3 linked regions of the Drosophila melanogaster genome follow. The protein of the gene in region 1 interacts with the protein of each later gene in a pairwise test. Each region holds a gene or a part of one and is shown in the gene's direction. Other genes may lie near its edges.

Evidence for each region.
Region 2: the proteins of CG15631 (region 1) and CG32428 interact in a two-hybrid assay, tested with the Drosophila melanogaster proteins (one large-scale study listed by BioGRID).
Region 3: the proteins of CG15631 (region 1) and ZIPIC interact in a two-hybrid assay, tested with the Drosophila melanogaster proteins (one large-scale study listed by BioGRID).

The regions. Positions count from the first base shown.
Region 1 is NT_033779.5:4,731,812-4,736,453, reverse strand, and holds CG15631 (uncharacterized protein), read left to right. Parts: upstream 1-1,995; 5' UTR 1,996-2,027; coding exon 2,028-2,148; intron 2,149-2,199; coding exon 2,200-3,947; 3' UTR 3,948-4,041; downstream 4,042-4,642. Other genes in the region: fipi (factor of interpulse interval), read left to right, coding at 114-605, 687-907.
Region 2 is NT_037436.4:20,469,126-20,475,626, reverse strand, and holds CG32428 (uncharacterized protein), read left to right. Parts: upstream 1-2,254; 5' UTR 2,255-2,652; coding exon 2,653-2,986; intron 2,987-4,478; coding exon 4,479-4,673; coding exon of another isoform or gene 4,674-4,732; exon of another isoform or gene 4,733-5,604; intron 5,605-5,642; coding exon 5,643-5,830; 3' UTR 5,831-5,953; downstream 5,954-6,501. Other genes in the region: isoQC (iso glutaminyl cyclase), read right to left, coding at 1-62, 984-1,100; CG5969 (uncharacterized protein), read right to left, coding at 1,350-1,595, 1,658-1,729; Tdh (L-threonine dehydrogenase), read right to left, coding at 6,177-6,495.
Region 3 is NT_033777.3:30,034,692-30,038,812, reverse strand, and holds ZIPIC (Zinc-finger protein interacting with CP190), read left to right. Parts: upstream 1-1,942; 5' UTR 1,943-2,011; coding exon 2,012-3,385; 3' UTR 3,386-3,573; downstream 3,574-4,121. Other genes in the region: janB (janus B), read left to right, coding at 175-226, 285-440, 498-622, 684-773; ocn (ocnus), read left to right, coding at 1,168-1,378, 1,433-1,557, 1,613-1,723. UniProt on the Drosophila melanogaster protein: Insulator DNA-binding protein. Recruits Cp190 and cooperatively binds to chromatin promoter regions to exert transcriptional regulator and chromatin insulator functions.

The DNA.
Region 1 (4,642 bases):
AGAACAGAAATCTTCATCAATTTTTTTTTGCTTAAATATTTCGAAACAGTCCCTATTCCTTTTTAAATACTTTAGTTTTTTTTATATCATCCTTGATATTTTCCCCTGTGCAGACAAGCCCATTTGGTCCAAGACTCCATTTGTTAGTCTAAAGTACGCCTACATAAACGGAACTGCGACTCTTATGTGCGAGGCACTGGCGGAACCTCCAGCGAATTTTACATGGTATCGCAAACACAACAAGCTGCACAGCAACAACAGACTGTACACGATCCAGTCGGACAGCTACTGGTCGAGTCTGACCATCCATGTGCTGAACACCAGCGCCTTCGATAACTACAGGTGTCGCGCCAGGAACGATCTGGGCACCATCGAGAGGACCACGCGACTGGAGCAGGGCGAGAAGCCTCCGTCACCGGCCAACTTCCAGCTGCGTGGCTTCAATTCAAACACCTTCGATGTGGTACTGAGTGCTCCACGAGGTCCTCCCGACAGTCCCATGGGGGTCAATGGATTCCGCATCGAGTACATGACCGAAATGGAGTTCAAGACGGATGCGGGCAAGTGGACCAATGCCAGGCGGAAGGATTATGCTTTCGAGGAGGGTGAGTTAAGCTTTAAAATATAGATAAAAGCTATCTCTTGCTACATTCGATATGTAAACTCATGGATTCTATAAATTTTAGGGGCTACCTTCCTTCTGACGAACTTAGAGCCAGATACCGTTTACCTGGTGCGGGCCGCATCACGGAATCTGGCCGGATTCAGTGACTTCACCAAGGTGGAGAAGTACAAGACACTTTCGCTGGAGCCCCGAGTCTCTTCGGGAGTCAAGGAGACCAGAAATATGTGCGTGGAACTGGGTGTGATGACACTAATGGTCCTGATGCGGCCGTTCCTGGGATGAATCTGAATCTGCAGGCGGATGAAGGATGACAGGTGATGCACCTAGCGGAACCGGAAACCAGGACCTTAAACCCCATGTGCTTTGTATAGCTATAAGGCGTGTCCACACGGCGACACTTTTCTGTCTGATTTGCTCGGTCTAAGTAATTTGGTTTACTCTTAAGTTCAGTGCGTTAATGTAACCTTAAAGAATGTTAAGTTTAGTAAGAATTTCTATTACGCTTTCAGTGCTTCGATTTGAATGATATTAGTGGATCACTTATAGGATATTTATATGTATTTAAACAAATCCTCATAGCAGTTAGACATAATCAATGGTTTGCTGGCCTTGGCTCCCCAAAATTATGCAAAACTAAAGCTTTGCTCAACATTCCAGTATATATTTTAACGTGAATTGGAAGTTTTCCCTGCAACTTTGCATCTCGTTGCCAAATCTTTAAGATATAATCAGACAGTTGCCAAAACTAAAAAAGTACATTAGTTTAGTATATACAAACAAATGCCTTCCGTCATTCGATATAACTAACAATCTTTTCAACTAAACTACATAAATATATAAAGTTTTGGAATACCATTAAACGCATCAAACAATTAATATAAATATCAAGGAGCTTAACGACAGCATTTAAAAGTTTTATATGTCACATAATTCTTTTTAATAGTCAAAGGCCAATAAAAACAATTCCACGTGTAAATTTCCAGGGCTAAAAAATACAGAATAAAATATAGATGTAAAAATAAGTTTAAACACTTTGCCACAATACAAATATTATGCAAACGAGAGAAAAACAAACACATATTTTACAAAAGTTATTTATATTCAATAAAATTAAATGTATTTCAGCTAAAGTGGTGTAAAATCTAAACCATAATACCTAGCCAAAGATTTAATATTTTCCAACTTTCGTTTGCCAATTGTGTGTGAGCCATAATAAAAGTTATGAATATCAAACCAGAACCGTTTGTGCTTCGATTTATTGATGTATAAATCAGTAAGTAAATAGAATATAAATATTTTAGTAAAAAAAATGCCTATTAGTTGGCGTAGCTTTTAGTGTTAATTTCTAATATTCGGCTCAAAAATTATATACAAAAAGTACAAAGCATAAAAATGTTGCAAGATGGAAAAACGAGCTCATTATTTTAGTCAGAACTCGAACCAGCCGCTAAATGCAGACTTTAATTTAGAAGATCAAATTATGAGGAATTCACAAAAAATATATAGGTTTAGCTCAGATCCGGGTGAGTAAAGCTTGCTAATAATGAATACATAAAATTAAAATTTTTATTTAGAATACAATAGAGTATATCAGCGGTATATGGCAACCCTCATCCGTGTGCAAAATTCCATGCATAGAAGATTTCAATCCAGGACCACTCTAAAATTGCAGGGCTCACATAGCCGCCTCTCAGCTGGCGGATTCTGTACGAAATTCAATAAATCCGGAAAGGAGAAAAAAAATAAACACAACCAAAGCCACGACCAGCAAAATGATACCTGTAAGCCTTCTTGCTCGAAGCCAACTGATTGCGCCACAAATGATGAACCTTCCTGCCGGGGCAATAAAAGTGCATCCGATAAAAGCCTGAAAATCACCCGCTGTTCCATACCGGAACCCAATAAGTCCCCACGCAGCGATGGACACGAGAACCAGCGTCAGAGCTGTGTGTCCTTTGAAGAGCCCGCGGCCAAGGATATTCCCACATTTGATCTGCACTTCCGGGACACCTCATGTACGGTGTCCCATGATTCCAGCCTGTCCTCCATCAACGTTTGCTATAGCCAAGAGCAACAGAGGGATATTACAAAATCTTGTCCCGCTCAAACGCCGAAAGAGCCAGCCCCTCAACGGATGAAGGAGTCGTCCAGGAATCAAACAGCTTCACGATTTTGCATGAGACCGTTGATTGTGGTGCCCACAGGTGGAGGAATTAAACAATTAAAGAAGGATCAATCTGAGAATTCCAAAATAGTTAGCACAGATCACTCCAAGTCGAAGTCTGCACACCACACGAATAGTTCTCGAAAATCCACAAAGAAGCAAGCAAAGAGTCACCGCCTTATTAAGTCTCACAGCTCTAAAGATTCTTTAGCAAATCGTGGTCAGCCTACAGTGGAAATTGAAGAAACTTTTCCAAATTCAATCTGCACTTCCGATACCCACGAATCCTGTGACTGCAAGAGCGAAGACCAATTTTGCTGTTACTATATACCAGAGGAGCCCCATTGCTCGCAGAATCCACCGCCATGTTCCAACTGCCCGGCTATATGCGACTTATCCAACCAATTGGAGGAGATGAATCGACGTTTGGAGGGCCTTCACAGCCAGGAACTCTGCGATATCCGCACGCAGGTGAATAGCCTCAATGCCAATGTTCAGCATTTGGCCAAAGAGTGCATTCAGAAAATGGATGGCGCCAAAAGGCTGGACAAGAAGACCTCGAGCACCTGTCAGTTCTGTCATGGGCAGTGTTTGAAAATACTTGATAGCTTCTATAGGCAACTGCTGGACTCACTTTGGGATCGTTCCCTGACAGACATAGTAATATCCATATTTCTGCGAGCAGACAATGTCTATCACGTAAATGTGCGGGATCTGAGCTCGGACTGTTCCCTTGGTTGTTACCTGGTCACTGATGCGGCCATAGAGGAGGCCATCGAGTTGGGAGTTTTTCAGAACATACTCACATTTAGTGTAATTGATGTGCGGAATACCATCAAGTCGAAGAACTGCGACTTGGGCATCGTCTTTGAATACCATCATTCAAAGCGGCAGACCGGTGGTTGCGATTCTCCACTTCGTGGCTCCTGCATGGTGGGCAAGGAATATATCGGCAGGGTTCTCGGACTTCCTTTGGAGCAGCTGAAATACCTGTACTCCGTTCCGCGATCCTATACCAAAATCACTGAGCACGACACTAGGAGTGTAACTGGAAGTCAGTTACACTCAGTTTCCACTCAAACGACTTTGATGGATATGCAGACAGAAATGAAGATAAGATATAAGAAAAGTGCCCGTACAAAACTACCATCAGTTTGAAAGATATCAGTTTTAATAATATATAGCAAAAGTTATAGTTAAGCCAACTTACAACGTATTTCTAAAATTTTGTAATAAAAGACCTTATAATTTTAAAAGCCAGCATAGATCAAAGGAAATTCTGATTAGTTTCAATAAAGCTAACCGTACAGGTTGCACTGCCATTTGCACAACCGACGGACCGCATGGCAAATGGTTCATTTGTTCAACGGGCGCGGTTTGTCAATCAGCCACATCAACTGGGGCTCAACTAAGGACCCGCATATGCGCTTTTGGCCGGAATGCCTTTTTGGGGGGGCTTTTTGGGGCAAGGAATAGGAGCACTGCGTTGACAGCCGCATAAATCAGTTGAATGCCAAACGTCGGATTCGGATGCAGATGCGGATGCTGTTGCGTATGCGGATATGCATTGCGACTGGGCGCCATATTGTGCGTGGTGACTTTTATTGCCCGACCGCGCGTTAAATATTTTTCTGTCTACACACATGGACATGGATGCTCCGCTCATCATTGACATTTACCATTGGCCATCGTCATTCGCATCACAATGAGCAGCAATGAGCGTGGCCGTTATTTGGGTGCGGTTCAAAACAATCAGCCCGGCTATTTAATTTCCAAATGAGAGGAGCATTATTCGGCACAGCATGAGTTCAAATCACTTGCCCCATGTGCCCGCCAGCTTTCAATATCAACAC
Region 2 (6,501 bases), on another chromosome or scaffold:
TCGGATAGATTGCTGTACTCCAGGAATCGGGGCTCGGAGAGCTCGCTGGGATTGTAGGATATCTGTTTGAATTAAAAGAAAGCACATATTAAGCAGGCGGTTGGTTTAGCTGCATTACCCTCCATTGACCTGTGTTCTTCCTACGAGATTATCCTTCTGGGAAGTGGATCCCCTCACCAAGGTGGCTATCAAAGCTGTCTGCACGCACAGCGTCCACATTCTAGCTGTTCGATGTAGCATATTTAACCGACTGACTTAAGACTACGTGGCTGAGTGTTTTTGTTCGGCGGTGGGAGTGTTGTGTCCCAACAGGTGGTTGCAATCAATAGCGGCAGGTTCGTAAGAAGTTTAAAGATTGGTCATCCGGCTGCGCAACTATTTTGCGGCACACTCCGGCTTGTACTTAAGACCCTTTGGCGAGTCTATTAAATTATCATTTTGGCCAGTTTTTACGGCCGACTTGTAAGGCACAAAATAACAAAAATGGGCGTCGCAAAGGGGGTCAAAATGCTAACGAAAATAACACTGTCTATAGGTAACGCTCGTTGTGGGTGTCTATTTGTTTCCCATCAGTAATTTATTGCACTCCTCTCAAAAATCATTTAATTTCCTTGTTTACTAATTCAACCAAAATCGTTTTGTTTACGCGTATTATTTAAACAGCTGCTTGCCATTTGTATCAGGTGGCAGCACCAGTCCCGAACAGGTGGCACCCCCATAAAAACAGGTCACGGGCGTGTCTAGATTTAATGAGCAGGGGTCTTAAGCAATGGTTACACGAAATATTCAGTTCACTAGCCATTCTCTTCTTACAAAATAATAAAATGACTAATTTGTGCTTCAATCAAAAAGAAAACATATAATATAAAATTCAAAAACATAAAATTAATTTATCAATATAATAAAATCCCCGAAGTCAGTATACTTTATACAGAACTCCCCTTTCAAGCAGAGAGTACAAATAAATGTATGTTTTAGTTAACCTTAGGAATATCCACCAGTTCGAAGCAAGCGCCTAGATTGTAGATTTTTTTGCGCGGTCTCGGCAGCAATCTTTTGACGGCCTCCATTAGGGAATAATTTCTGAGTAGCAGACGCATTTCACTTATGCATGTATATTTTTAATACAAATTATGCACACAGAACACTACACAACACAACACGTTTTCCACGCTGTTATCGAAACTTATGCAATGAAAAGCGATTACACACGGTTTACAGGCGACTTTCTCCTCCCTCGCTGGCATGTAAACAATTGTATCTATATATGTAGCATGTATGTATGTACAAGAGTGCTCTACCGACTTAAAGTTAATGGAAATAGGGTAACAGTCCGGGGTAGATGAGGATTAGTCCGTTTTGGAGCCCTTGGAACCGGGTGCCCCAAAGTAGGCCCTGTATATATAGAGTCCCAGGGCGATGTGCAATGCAACGACCGCTCCCACGGCGGATGCTATGTTCACTTTGACTTCGGAAATGTCGAGGAACTGGTCCAGAACGAAGCCCTTCAGCACAAAGAAGGTCAGCACGGGCAGGAAAACGATAAGCATGCAGTAGAAGAGCACTGTCTTGAAGGAGCTGTAGTCCTGCGAGTCCTGGGCATCCAAAATAAACAAGGGATTAGCTAGCCGGCAATCGGAGCCGTCATGTTACATACGTGCGACTGCTGGCGGGTTTGTTTCGGCGCAACTCCGTTGCCTCCGGCGGCTTTCTTGTTCTTGGTCGACATCTTTTCAGTTAAATAGAATGCAGCTTAATTGAAAAATCAGCAATTTCTCTCAATTTCTAGTTTTGCTTTGGTCTGCCATTCGGTTATCAGAAATATTTGACAAATCACAAATCACATGATAAAGTGGTAGTACCGTGCCAGCATTCAAAATATACCAGAAAATACTGCGACTAGTCGATTAATCGTTGGTATCGTTGCTATCGAAATATTTTCAACTAAATTCTCATTTTTTAATTCATTTTAATTGAGTAAAAAGTTAAAATTATATCAAAATAAAAGAGAAGTATTGAAGCTATTTCTTTAGGTATACAAAATGAAGTGTCATATTTGTTCAAGTAACATATTGTACGCTGTTTCGCGATTTTCGATAATTATAAATATAAATATATATAAATTATAAGTTTCCATGACTTCCAATGAGATTCATAAGATCTGCACTATTTTTGCAACCACAGCTGTCTTTTCGCAACTTCTTCGGTATTTTTCTCCAGGGTCGCACGCCTTATTGCGACACCAGCAGTGTGGTCACACTGGAGCGAAAGGAAAACAAAAGAGCAATCGTGAATCGAAAGGCGCACGCGGCAAAATGTAAAACTTGCTTATTGGTTTATTTTTAACAGTTGCCGTCACCGCATTTACAGTCGCATTTCGGCCGAATGCTCGCGCGCCCCGCTTGCGTGTGTTAATTGAATTATTTCATCCATTTTAGCAACTGCTGCGTATTTTCGGCGCTTATTAAGCCGACAGAGCCATCAAAATCCATACTGCATACAAATACGATTTCAATTAGGGGAAAAATACGCGCCTGCAGTTCGCCGCACGATTTCGTACAGTACAGTACGGACGCAGAGGAGCGTTTTTTCCGAATTTACTGTACTTGCTTTTCGGTTTTTTTGGGGAAATTCCACTGCAGCTGGCGCGCGATGGTTTTGACGAACTTCGAGTGCTGGGCACATGGTGATCCGTCGTCGTCGGCGGCCGCCACTTTCGAAACTGGAGCGCTGCGTCCTTCGATGGATCCGTTCAATCCACGCGCCGTCACCTTCATGACCGACGCCAACAACAACAACAACAACAATGATGGCAATAACCTCGCGGCACAACCGATGCCGGTCGTCCTGCCTCCGGAAGTCCTGCGCTGCAAGAAGCGCCTGAATCCCGGTCACAATCCTGTCGGGGATTTGGACACGGACCAACCGGTGTACACCAAGAGATGTCGCTACGACGAGTCTGACTTGGCCGCCCAGTACTGCAATGGTGAGTATCGCTGCTCAAAAATGCAAGCTTAGTTATTTAATTATTAAATTGTTTAAGGCAGTTTTATATTAGGCTTACTTAGCAATTGCACATGCAATAATTCCAATAAATAAATTTGTTGTCGAGCAGCCTTTAAATATTAAATATCCTCATTAGTTTCAGAAAACACTCAGAAATATATTATTATGTTATACTCAATCCTTTAAGAGTAATGGTTGCATTTTTTAGTGTCTCAAACCATTTTGAACTTAAATTTAACACTTGCAATGAAATTCAAATTATACTTGAACCAAATATGATATTAATTTAACTTTAAATGAGTATTGAAGGCATTTTTGTTGGTATGAATTTAAAAACCGGAACACACCAGACGACTTAAGCTGTAATTTTGTTTATAATCTCTCGACCTTGGCTCTTATGCCCGCGCATTTAATTGGTGTTGCGTGAAAGTGTCGTAAAACTTGTAAATTTACACAATTATCTCTGACCTTGCGGCCCCATTTCTTCTCCCATTGGCTCTCCCAGCGACCTGTGTTATCACTGTTCAGTTATTCGGTGGGATCCGGACTATCTGTGGCATACAGAGGGTACCGGACTCGAAACGATAGCACTTGACAGCCGCTTAAATTTAGCAAAGAAAAACCGGCTTGACTCAGTCTTTATAGACATACATATGCATATATGTATATCGGTGTGTTTGGCCTACTAAACAAAACACACAAGTAGTGGGGATTAACTGGAGGTACTGCGGAGATGACTATGTACACTGGGTCAACAGAGTGTTACGATTCTTCTTACACCGCCAGTTTAATCAATCTGCATTCGCAAAAGTGTTCCAACAATAGAAGAAAACAAAGGGGGAAGGCAGTGTGGGCGTAAATATATACAGCCGGTAAAAGAAATGTGTATATCTGCGGGAGTGAATCAATAATCTATACTCTTTCTGAGGGTATAAACGCTTCTTAAATGTTTTTAAGTGATTTCAATGATATGTACGAATATTTCATTTAGTTTTGTCCACGATTTACTTAAATATATATCTCAATTTTTTTGATCTATATTAATATTTTTAAAAGGGGTACAAAATAATAGAAATACAATTTTAAATGTTTTCTATTGGAATAAATATACATATGTATTTTTGCAACTATGACTACACTTAATTAGTTGTTGTTAATCTGTGCACTCCGTTTTGCCTTCGTTACCTTATAGTTTCCGATTGCGTTGATAAGGTTATCAGCACAAACAAAAAGCAGAAAAAAAGAAACTAACTCGTAGATAAGAAATGACAACACACTGCTCTGCTCCGAATTGGTTATAAATAAACGATCGGTAATTGGGCCAAGCATCGATAGTGTCAACGTGTTGCGTTGCATTGCCGTTGCACTGAGAAAAATCGGAATAGACTTCAGTTTGTACATACAATTATAATAAATTGTAAATTATTTTATATAAGTTAATGTAACTTAATGATCGGTTTATTGCCTTGCAGATTTCTTTTCCTTGCCTGCCACACAAATAATTGGAACGCAGGCCTCTTTGATGGATTACGAGATGCAGGCCACCGGCGGCATGATGATGATGGAATCGGAGACGAGTTTTCCAGCGCAGCAGCAGCAACATCAAGAGCAACAGCAACATCCACAGCAGCCACATCAATATCAGCGCATTCATCAGCATTATCAAGGTCATTTGCATCGCGCCAACCGTGATGTGAGTCGTTGCATGATGTCGCACATGATTTAGGGGCCCTCGTTCACACAAAACTCAAAATGTACATATATAACCCAAAACATGTACTGTAGCTGAGAAAAGCGCACAAGAAACACATGCAACAGTTCACCGAGCGACGCGTCTCTCTTTATTTGCTAAACAGCCGACAATGTATCGAAAAATGTTCGCATATCACTCAGAAAGCAAATTAACGCAAAGGAGCAATTGAATTGAAAATATCCGCAATGCACATACCTACCATATACCAAAAATTCAAATTTTGTAAAAAAAAAAAACAATCAGCTAACGACTCAGCCAATAAGTATTCTGTATAAATTGTTAAACTCACGAACTATTGTACAAACAACAGCTAAGTCGAACATCGAACATAAACTGTACTTAACTACCTAAAGAATTGAAATACGTAATTAATTTCAAAAAGTAATAGTTAGACCTGCGAAACATTGCAATCACAAAAAAGCAAGCAATATATGTTAAGTGAAATGTTCAATCAGCCTGGAGCGATTGCTGGGAGCCTTCACAAAGTGAATTTAATATGTGAAGTTGGCTGATACGCAACCATAGTCGTAAATTTATTTCTAAGGTATACTTTACCATTAGTTCAAATCGTTATCAACATATGCTTTAGGTATATTGATGACTTAGTAGCTTAAGACCGCGGTGAGTGCTTATATCTTTTGTATCAATTTTTACACTCACATATATTTGCAATAAACTTAACAGCTACCACCGATCTTTATATAAATTCTGTTATACTTAAATTTTTTTTATATACTTTATTTTTTCTATTTTATTCGAAGTTTAAGTTAATGAAGTCAGCCAACTTTTAAAGAGCACTTTGTGGAAGATCCAAACAGCAAACGCGAAAGGCCAAGTTAGTGACCCAAATTGATAGACAAATCTCCAATCTGCTCGTTTACAGAATCCGCAGAGCAACGAGTGCCGTCCCCGCAGCAAAAGTCAAGAAAATCTAATAATTCTATTGGGAAAATCAAATTAAAGTCCATAGGCAGCGAAGCCGAAGCGGACTTGTATATAGCCACACACGGCGGCAGTCTGCACCACTTTTGTGGGCTCGGCGGATCGGAGCTAGAGGAGTCTGATATATGATAAAGTAACTCCGAGCAAGAATTGTACATCCTAGCCTAAGTTGTAATATAAGCTGTCGCAAACTAAAGGTGCTTACCAATAGTATTTGAGTTCGAATAAACCAAAAGCTATCGTGCGAAACTCACATCAATAATCGAAAGTATTTCCATGTGCTGAAGAACTTTAAGATCACAATTCTTCAAGATGAAATGAACCAATAGTTTTCCTTTCCAATAAATGCCTTACTGTATTTTAAAAGGTAAAATGTTACAGTGGTTTGTGTTGCTATTCACTAGATAAATGCAGTGTTAAATGCGATTGGATTTCATTACTTAGCAATACTAGATGCGGTTGTTCGATCCACGTCTTAGATCTGCAGAGTCTGCTGCTCCGGCTGAACATTAATGTAGTTATCCTGCACGTCCTTGATCATGAAGTCCACCAGGTTGGACAGGTCGTACTTGTGCTGCCAGTGCCAGTCGCGCCGCGCATCGGAGTCATCGAATACCTGCGGCCAGGCGTCTGCGATCAACTGGCGGCTATCTGGCTTGTAGGTCACGTGCAGATTGGGCACGTGCTTGCCCAGCTGGGCGAACAGCTCCTCGGGAGTGAAGGACATGGCGGTCACGTTGTAGACGCGGCGCTTCAGCTGTTCGTTGGGAGCACGCATGAACTCGAGGAGAGCCCTAGTT
Region 3 (4,121 bases), on another chromosome or scaffold:
ACCATTGGCTTTGATCCTGTGTGCCATGATTTTATTGGAAATGGCATTTAAAATTGAGAAATGCTCTGAAAGGCAGTTAGTCTGTAGCTTTGCAACTGCTCGCACTAAACCTTTTCGGATCTAAATTAATCAGTTTGTACACAAATTTCGTTTCTTTTCCTTTGGTTAAATAAAATGAAAATGTTCAAGTCATTGCGTCTGCTTCCTCATATTGTTTCTCCGTTTCGTAAGGCTTAGGAATATTCAATATTAAGATTTACAAGCCCTAATATACTTGGTTTTAGAAAAATGTTACTCAACCGATTTGATAAGTTTGGTAGGCGTTCCCCGGGTCAAGATAACCAAGGGTCAGAATCGTTATTTGTTGGTGAATATTCATACGCATGGCTTCACGAAGTATGGAAGAGTTATTGTCCGTGGCGCCGATGTTGACAATCACTGTGAGTTTCCACTGCTGGACGCTTAACCTTGAGCAGTCTTACAAATCCTTCTTTCAGTGGCGGTCTTCGACTCGATTTTGGAGGAGCTGGAACCCGAGGGCATATGTGCCAAAATCCTCGGTGGTGGAAGGATTCTCAACGAGGCAGAAAATAAAAAAATTAAGATCTATGGCACCTCCAGGGTAAGTAGAGGATCCTTGGTCCTTGAAGCACCGGCTAATGGTTCTTGATGGGTCTCCCTAGACTTTCGGCGGTGCTGATCACACAAGGACAAGGAATATACTTCAAGCGTGGACCACTTATAAGGACTTTAAGATAACCGTTAAACAATAAAGTTGCATAAATTTCGAAAATGGAAATTCAGTACTAATAAAAAGAAAATAGAATATAAAAGTAGCGCTCTTTCAATATTATTAAGGGGTAATCGAACAGGCGATTGTAATTGGCGGAATATGGTTGATATTTCCATTTCTGGAGAGAGTAGAAAGAAGAGTAATTTTGCATTTATAGTTTAGTTCATACAAAAATTTCTTTCACAAGATACAAGGGCTTAGTACTTTTTGAATGATCACATGTGCTCCGATTTTCGTGTCAGTCTTGAATTTAGCATACGACCGGAAGGCTTCTGACAAAATCAGTCTAGCTGGAGCCTTGCTACCGTTCATACCAGTTTCTTTTCGGAATATTTCATCTAAATTCCAGTGCGTTTTCCTAAAATTTTTCCAAAATGAAAACCTTGAATCTTTTGGCACCTGTTTCACAATTGTTGAAGCCCCTTCGAAGGCAAAGTTCTTCGCGCGTAAACGCCCTTTTGATAAATGTTCCTAGAGTTCAGCTTTCTAAAGGCAAGAACAAGTACCTTTTGATGATGATTCACATGCACGGTTTAACTAGGTTCGGCAGGACCATTGTAAGAGGATCCGCCTCCAAGGACCACGGTTAGTTCTAATAATCAGTATAGCTAATACGTGTTCTAATCGTTCTGTCGCCAGAGGAAATCTTTGAGGAAATCCAAAAGGAGATGGACAAAATTGGAATTTGCGCCAAATGCCTGGGTGGAGGGTTCATCAGCAACAAGGAGGACAAGAAAGTAATGAAAATTTACGGGTGCTGCAAGGTAAGTGGATGAAGTTGGCTACGATCAACCTGATTACTAAAGAGACTGCCTGCAGACTTTTGGGGAGGCGCCGCACGGCAGGACGAAGGACATACTGCTGTCTTGGACCAAATTCCAGCATTACAACATCATCTTGCCCAAAAAGAATCTGAACGCGTATCAGTGAAGGCGTTTGAAAGCTTGTTTTATTTTTCCTAACTGCCCTGTTGGCAATTTATAATACAACAAAAAATTAGTAAATACATGGCTACATATCGATTTGTTTTTTCGCTGGGTGTTACAAATTTTCAGCTTTTGATTTTGAGTTTCAGATCTGCTTTGTTGGTTAGCAGCCAAAGTTCAAATTTGGAAATTGAACCAGATCACATCGTCGATAACCGATAGCTGTGCAATCGGAGCCTTCTTCAGGGCACGGTCACACTGCCCCGAAAGTGTAAATAAATTTCAATCAAATATGAATTGCTGCATTTGTCAATTCTCGGTACGCGTACCGAAGGACATTCACACCGATACCGTCGGACATCCGCCGGTGCTGATCAGCGAACTGGTACTGCAGTGCACCCGGGGCACGAATTACGTCCTCACGGAGGAATCGTCGACGATCTGCAAGAAGTGCTGCGAGAAGCTCGCCAGATACCACAAGTCCATACAAATAGCGCGCAAGCTGCGAGGGGAGATCCTGGAACTGATCCACAGTCCCTACATGTCCAAGGACCACAAGCAGACCTCCTACAAAGAGGACGATCTCGACCGAGAGACCACCATAAGCAAATTCGATGGGAATATTGAGGAGGCACAGCAACAGGACGAGGAGGAGCAGGAACTGGAGAGCGTGGGCACCACCGTCACCCTGGTCGGTCCCGCCGGCATCGTGGAGGAAGTGGCCGAAGAGGAGCACACCTTCATTATCAAACAATCAGAGGAGGAGGATGAGTTCCACTCCGTAGACTTAGAGCTAGATATCGACAACGAGATTATCATTAACGAAGAGGAAGCCCACGAGGTAGAGGAGGTGGCCCACGAGATAGAGGAGGTGGCCCACGAGATAGAGGAGGAGGATCTGTTGCCACATGACAAGCAAGAGGCCCAGGAGGAAGACTTTTTTAAGGAAGATACCATGAGTGACTTTGACGAACATCTGGACGGCGCAATAGAGTACATAATATCCGATGGCGAGGACCAGGAGCAGGACAACGAAAGCTCCGGCGAATACACGGTCAACATACAATGCCCCAGCTGCCCGGAGAAGTTCAGCAGCCGGCGCGCTTACAATGTCCACACGAAACGCGAGCACTTTCCCGGCTACGTCTGTGATCAGTGCGGCAAGACGCTGCAATCGTACTCCGGGTTCATAGGGCACCTGCAGAACCACGAGCCCGTGAAGCAGTTCGCCTGCCCAGTGTGCCCGGAACGCTTTAGCCGCAAGTTCCGGCTGAAGCACCACATGGCCTGGCACTCCGGCGAAACGCCATACCAGTGCGATGTCTGCTCCAAGCGATTCGTTCACAAGGTGGCCCTGTACAAGCACAAGATGATCCACGACAGCGAGACCAAACGGCTGGAGTGCCAGGTGTGCGGCTTCAAGACCCGGACCAAGGCTCACTTGGAGCGGCACATGCGATCCCACACGGGGGACAAGCCCTTCGCCTGCCCGGTGTGCAACAAGCGCTTCTCCCAGATGTACAACATGAAGGCCCATCTGCGGGAGCACGAGAGTCCCGGAACCAACCGCCATCGCCGCTTCCACTGCTCCAAGTGCACGCATACTTTCATCAACGAGCAGAACTATGATGCCCACGTTCAGAGAGACGACTGCACGCCAGTTTAGCCCACTATATTGAATATATATAATAGATAATTATATATTGTGTAAGGCCCAACCCATCATCGACCATCATCGTGATCACCACCCAACCGAATGCAAGCGAAATCATTTGGATCATTACGTTCTATCCATGTACTTTTTTATTAAATCTATATGCATTTTGCTCACAAATAAAATATGTTTGATATAATAAATTTATCCGTTACTTGCATATTTCTGCGGTTATTTCAGTTTTCTTAAAAAAATATGTATAGTAAGTGTGTGTGTATGCATTAACTTATTTGAATAAATCAATCGATCGACCTCGTCCGTTCCGGCCAAGGGCCAATAAACCACCCACCCATTGTATTCCAGTATTGGTCGCTGCTGGACTGATCGAGCCCCAAATGAAATGTGCCTAATGGTAGATCGGTAGATGCAATTGACGCAATTACAATACATTGTATAAATACATAAAGTTAAGTGTGTATGCTGTGCTATAGATATACAAAAATAAAACAGATTATCTTTTGATTTTTTGTCGAGTTGAATAGAACTTTGTTAATATCATCATATCATCATCATAAAATGCACATTACAAAAATATTAACAAAATTTATTGCAGGCAGTCCGTAGTTAGTAAAAGGTAACAAACAAATCCCAATCGAGGTAAACCCATAAATCTTCCTAATAATGTGATTTTGTGCAGTAGTTCCTAAAGATCTCAGTCCCTGGCTGCGGGACTGAAACGCTTTTCGGA